Danio rerio: one gene and its partner. The protein of the gene in region 1 interacts with the protein of each later gene in a biochemical or structural test. Links are inferred from orthologs where the notes say so. Each region holds a gene or a part of one and is shown in the gene's direction. Other genes may lie near its edges.

Region 1 (3,838 bases):
GCATCAACGACATTGAAGTGTACTCAGACACCGTCACATGCTTCATCAGGAAATGCATAGAAGACTTGGTCCCAACAAAAACTGTCCGTATCTACCCCAACCAAAAACCATGGATCAGTGGCTAAGTTCAAACAGCCCTATTAGTGGGAACATCCGCCTATAAATTCAGAAATGCTGAGGAACAAAAACAAGCAAATTACAACCTCAGGAAAAACATCGAAGCAGCAAAACGTCAATACACAGACAAGGTAGAGTGTCAATTTAACACCAATAATGCAATGAGCATGTGGCAGGGACTTAATTGCATCACGTACTTTAAAAGTAACAATCCCGCCACTGTAAACATTGCTGCGTCTTTCCCTGACGAGCTCAACTCGTTCTACACCAACTTTGAAGCCCAGGTCAGCGCGCGCTCCTGCGACCAAAATCGCCAGCACACTCTCTGTTTCTGTAGCGGACATAAGGAGATCTTTCAGTCGCGTGAACATCCGGAAGCTCTTGGCCCAGATGGCATCCCTGGACGTGTACTTAAAGCATGCACACACCAGCTAGCGGGGGTTTTCACGGATATCTTAAATCTCTCGCTCTCTCGGTCTTTGGTTCCCCCATGCTTTAAGACAGCTACTGTTGTGCCCATACCGAAATCAGCTAAAAACAACAAGCTTGAATGACTGGCGTCCAGTTGCTTTGACACCCATCTTCAGCAAGTGCTTTGAGAAGCTGATTAAAAAGCACATCTGCTCTGTACTGCCTGCTCACTCTGACCCTCTGCAATTTGCATACAGGTATAATCTCTCAACTGATGATGCAATTGCTTTCACTTTGCACACTGCTCTTTCTTACCTGGAAAACAAAAACACATATGTGGAATGCTGTTTGTGGACTACAGCTCAGCATTCAACACCATTCAACACCTGCCAATCTGGTGGTGAAGGTCCAGGATCTAGGTCTACACAGCTGTCTTTGCAATTGGATCCTGGACTTCCTGTCAAGCAGACGCTAGAATGAACAACATTACATCATCCACCTTAATCTTCAACACTGGTGCTCCACAAGGCTGTGTTCTCAGCCCACTCCTATACTCCCTTTACACACATGACTGTACAGCCAAACACAGCTCCAACGTCATCGTTAAATGTGCTAATGACACAACGGTGGTCCTAATCACCGATAATGTGACAAACTACAGAGAGGAGGTGCACACTCTGACACAGTGGTGTTAGGAAAACTCACTCAACATCAGCAAAACCTAGAAGCTGGTGGTGGATTTCAGGAGAGAGAAGAGAGAACACCCCCCCCATCACCATCAACGGGAAACCAGTGGAGATAGTCAGCCCTTTCAAGTTTCTCGGAGTACACATCGCTGAGGATTTGACATGGACTGCTCAAACAGACGCTATTCTGAGGAAGGCACAACAACGCCTCTTCTTCCTCAGGTGGTTCAGGAGGTTTGGAATGAGCCCCCACATCCTCCGCTCGTTCTACACCTGCACGGGGAGAGCATCCTGTCTGGCTGTATCACCACCTGGTATGGAAATAGCACCAGCAGCAATCGCAAAGCCCTACATAGGATTGTGCGAACTGCTGGACGCGTAGTAGGAGGCGAGCTTCCCTCCTCCAGGACATCTTCACCAGGTGTTGCATGAGGAAAGCCAAGAGAATTATCAGCGACTCCAGCCACCTAAGCCATACACTTTTTTTCTCTGCTACCCTCAAGCAGACGGTTCCGCAGCATCCGGTCACGCACTAGCCGGCTGAAGGAAAGTTTCTTCTTTCAGGCTGATGAACACTTAAGACAGCCCACACAGACTTTTCCATACCCCTTACTGCACACCATCAATATGTAGTTTGCACTGCACTTTAACTAATCCATACTTGAAACAATACTGAATACAACTATGTGAACACCTATTCATTGTACATATCGGTATAACAAATTAATTTATTAATTTTTTTTTTTTTTTTTGAGGAGCATGCTGTTGAATTTAGCACTTTTGTGTATTTGCACTGTCTGTCTTTTGCACTGTAATTTTTTTTTGCACTGTCTGTTAATTGCACTATCGTTGAATTTGCACTGTATTGTGTACTGTCTGGGGCCAGCACCTTTTCACTCATCATAGCACACGTGCTGCTGATGATGTGACAATAAAAGTGATTTGATTTAATGCAAAACCTTGCATAACAAATCTGGTAGTTTCACATAAACTGAGTATTTCCAGGTGGTCTCTTATTTCTTACCATAGCTGTATATAAATCACAATCTAATTGCTTGTCTTATAAATTATTGGCATGTGACTACTTTTTTTTATAAAAATGGCACAAGCTATGTTTGAGTTGGCCATAGTTCATTGTTTCACTCTGTCATTATATTAAAGTCATCATGATACAGAAGTTAAGATGGTCCTTTTTTTCCCTTTTTACGAAAGGGTACCAAAAGGTGTTATGATCTGTGTGTTAGTCTAGCTGTAGAAATGCATCCTGTATTGTGCTAAACTGTACCGCTCTTGAAAATGGGTAATAACATTCTGACCTTGTCTTAGGATCATTAAAATGTGGGATTTGCGGAGGAACTATACTGCATACCACCAGAACCCCCTGCCTCTACAGGCCTATCCTTACCCAGGGTCCTGCACGCGCAAACTAGGTACACATCTCATAGCCCACTGTTACTAATGAGAATTCATATTATCAAATAAAAATCTTATATTGTTTTATTTATTTAATTAATATTTTTTTTTATTTATTGGAACTCTTATCTTTTTATTGTTTTTTTATTATAGAAAAGTGATTTCTATAAAATGTCATAAATTGTATCTATTTTTTGCTATGACATAGCCAGAGAAGCTGAGATGGCAATAATCTCTCTCTGTAGTATTATTGCTAATTTTCCTTTTCATGATCCTGTTTTTCTTCTGCAGGTTATTCTGGTCTTTCACTGGACTACACTGGATCTAGACTCTTCTCTAACTGCACAGATGACAATATCTACATGTTTAATATCAGTGGGCTGAAAACCACTCCAGGTACATATGAATTGTAATAAGTGTTCAGTTTGTTTGTTTTTAAGTGTAAATTGTTATTTTTTATTTTTTTAACTAATCAGTTTTTATCTGGAGTGTGGGATAGTGTTATGATGATATCATAGTTGTTTTAATGATGTGTGAGCAAACATAGAATTTCTCAAAGTCTAAAGAGTACAATATAAAAGCACTAATTTCAGCAGGTCGGAATTGATTTCTTTTTTCAAAATATGATAACTTTAATTTATTATGCACTTAAGACTGTTTTTTTTTTTTTTTTTTTTACTTCTATTGTTTCGTTGGTATAAAAAATCCCCAAAATAATTGAATTATGTAGGTGAAGCATGTTTCTGAACTAATTCTCTTTTTCACAGTCGCTGTGTTCAGTGGTCACAGTAACTCCTCATTTTACGTGAAGTCCACTGTGAGTCCAGATGACCAGTTCCTGGCTAGTGGATCCAGTGATCATAACGTTTACATATGGAAGGTCAGGAGTTCTCCATGCACTCACCCGCAAAATTCCCTCATTCTCAAATATATTTCTCAAAAATATATATATACATTTTCAAGAAGAGCTATTCAAATGATTCATTTGATTTTGTTACAAAGTAAGCTCCCCATCCCTCCAGTAACATACAGCCCCAGATCTAGATGTAAAAGTAGAAGATCAGAAGTTATGTAGCAACGGTGACACATGATTTTGTTTACTTTTGATCCAGATTTCAGATCCAAAACAAGCTCCCATGATGCTTCAGGGCCACAGCCAAGAGGTCACATCCGTGGCCTGGTGTCCTACCGATTTCACCAAGGCTAGTATC
Region 2 (2,608 bases), on another chromosome or scaffold:
AACTGGGCACATTACTATAGTAGTAGATCAATACAGACTAAACTAACATAAACTTAATATTTTTCAAATATTGTTTTACACAGTAGTCTATGGCATGATCATATTTTGGGGTCTGTGACATCTACAAGAATAAACATCTGTGTTGTAGTGGATGGACATTATGCATATAAAATATTTTGCTAACACTACAATAAAGTCCAATTATATAGTCCATTTAAAATCAAATACTTTCTTCGCTGTATTTTTTATCTTTACTTATGAGATATTCATTCTTGTTATCTCAGGTGCGTTAAAAAACATTAAAAGACAAAATAATGTATTGGTAATTGTTGAAAAGAACATTTAATTAAGACGAATAAATGCTTAAGTTTTCAGTATTAGTTCATGTTTACATAGTAAACTAATTTTAACAATTGATTCTAAGTATCAAGTGTAGCGAGCATTACTAAGATGTGCACTATAAATTATTAGTTTAACAATATACAGGCTTGTATATGTAGACTGTATACAGGCATTTCTTCAATTTCAAAGTCCTAAAAAGTCTTAAATTCACTGAAATATTGTGTTGTGGGTCTTAAATAATTTTAAACTTGTTTTAACTTTCCTATGTTCATGTAAAGCTACCCAATTGGACCAACACCCAGGCAATTACCAACATTTCATCACTATCTCATTAAAAGTTCTAGCAAAAGTTTATTAACTCTATTTACCATACCTATTAATATAACATTTGTTTTTACAGTTTTTTTTAAGCTTTAACTGGGCCATTAGAAAAAATCCTTAGCGTTTAACCTTGTGCAAGTCAGAAATTTTATTCATAATGGTCTTAAAAAGTCTTAAATTAGACTTGATGAAACCTTTGGAAACCAAAATATAATTTTGATATATACATTTTGTGTATTTTCTGTCAGATAATCTGAAGATCTCTGACTTTGGCCTGGCTACCATGTTCAGGCACCGTGGCCGTGAGCGAGCTTTGAACCGTCTGTGTGGTACTCTGCCCTATGTTGCCCCAGAGTTGATGTCACGCTCATCTTTTAACGCTCAGCCTGCGGACACTTGGGCTTGTGGCATTGTGCTCACTGCAATGTTAGCTGGAGGTAAGACTCTATTGATTTTATATTTATTTATTTTTTTATGAAAATATTATAACCAGAAGTTTAAAAAAGGCCCAAGATTGTATCTTTAACATTTTATTGCATCGTATTGTGTTGAATTTCTCAACAGAGTTACCCTGGGATCAGCCGAGTGAAAACTGTCAGGAGTATTTGGACTGGCTGGAAAGAAAGACCTACCTTACGCCCTGGAAGAAAATTGATGCGGTACCCCTTAGTAAGTATCTTCGACTTGCTAAATTTGACAATATTTAAATATTTATTATAGATTTCACTTTGGCCGGAAGGCAGCCACTCAAAACTACTGCATACAAACATTCAGAACACCTCTGATGTTAAGAAGTTTTGTTTGTTTTTGATCAGGTCTGTTGTCTAAGATATTACTGCACAATCCAGAAGACAGGTTCACCATTCCTGAAATTAAGAAACACCGCTGGTTTAGCAGAAGTTTCAAATCAGGTACTGTTTCAAACATCAGCTCAGTAGCTCTGCAAGTGCTTTAAGAGTGTTTGTGTTTGTGACTGTTTTGCGTCTGAATTTTTGACCACAGCAGTACAACGTCAGGGCATCACACCAGCAGCCAAGATTCAACGGGCTGACTCTGAGCTAAGACGAAAAAACAGGTCAGTATGATAAATACATACAGTGCATCCAGAAAGAATTCACAGCGCTTTACTTTTTCCAAATTTTTTTATGTTACAGTCTTTTTCCAAAATAGATAAGGACAGGTGTGCCAAACTTGTGGCATCATATTCAAAAAGACATGAGGCTGTAATTGCTGCCAAAAGTGCATCAACAAAGTATTAAGCAAAGGCTGTGAATACTTATGAACAGGGTTTTTCAGCTTTTTTATTTTTAATAAATTTGCAACAATTTCAAAAAATCTTTTTCACATTGTCATTATGGGATATTGTGTGTAGAATTTTAAAGAAATACATGAATTTAATCCATTTTGGAATAAGGCTGTAACATGAAAAATTAAAGCACTATAAATACTTTCCGGATGCACTGTATGTTGCCTTAATGACTGTTTAGTATTGAGCAAAACTCATGAGCTATTTTCTGCTATAAGGGGCACATAATCACTACCTGTGTGTTTCCTCAGTGATGACCGAGCGCAGATCTCAAGCTCTCAGCCTGAGCCACAGGGATTATGGGAGGAGAAGGAGGTTACAGTTCACACCGATGTCAGTGTCAGCTTTTCACAACCGACCTGTCCTGACCACATGCTGCTGGGCACACAACTGCTTGGCACACCGGGTGCAAGCCAGGTAACAATTTCAATACAGTTAATAATAATTATACAGTATTTTTCAGAAAAAAAGTTACATCTGCTCTAAATTGCATAGTTAATATTTAGATTTGTTGCGATTTGTAGTTTTATTCAGGAAAATAGGCTCCACAATGAATCTTTTAAATTTCACAGTATTCAGAACAGAACAAATAATGACAATTAAAATAGGCTGAATGTTCATATTTAGTTTTGGTTTTGC

The links.
Region 2: of the proteins of dtl (region 1) and chek1, one has a biochemical effect on the other in vitro, tested with the Homo sapiens proteins (2 studies listed by BioGRID). The link is inferred for Danio rerio from reciprocal best matches to the Homo sapiens genes DTL and CHEK1.

Annotation. Positions count from the first base shown.
Region 1 is NC_133195.1:14,398,226-14,402,063, forward strand, and holds part of dtl (denticleless protein homolog), read left to right. Parts: intron 1-2,540; coding exon 2,541-2,644; intron 2,645-2,918; coding exon 2,919-3,023; intron 3,024-3,394; coding exon 3,395-3,507; intron 3,508-3,739; coding exon 3,740-3,829; intron 3,830-3,838. UniProt on the Homo sapiens protein: Substrate-specific adapter of a DCX (DDB1-CUL4-X-box) E3 ubiquitin-protein ligase complex required for cell cycle control, DNA damage response and translesion DNA synthesis.
Region 2 is NC_133196.1:24,021,621-24,024,228, forward strand, and holds part of chek1 (serine/threonine-protein kinase Chk1), read left to right. Parts: intron 1-911; coding exon 912-1,100; intron 1,101-1,227; coding exon 1,228-1,332; intron 1,333-1,478; coding exon 1,479-1,574; intron 1,575-1,665; coding exon 1,666-1,738; intron 1,739-2,220; coding exon 2,221-2,386; intron 2,387-2,608. UniProt on the Homo sapiens protein: Serine/threonine-protein kinase which is required for checkpoint-mediated cell cycle arrest and activation of DNA repair in response to the presence of DNA damage or unreplicated DNA.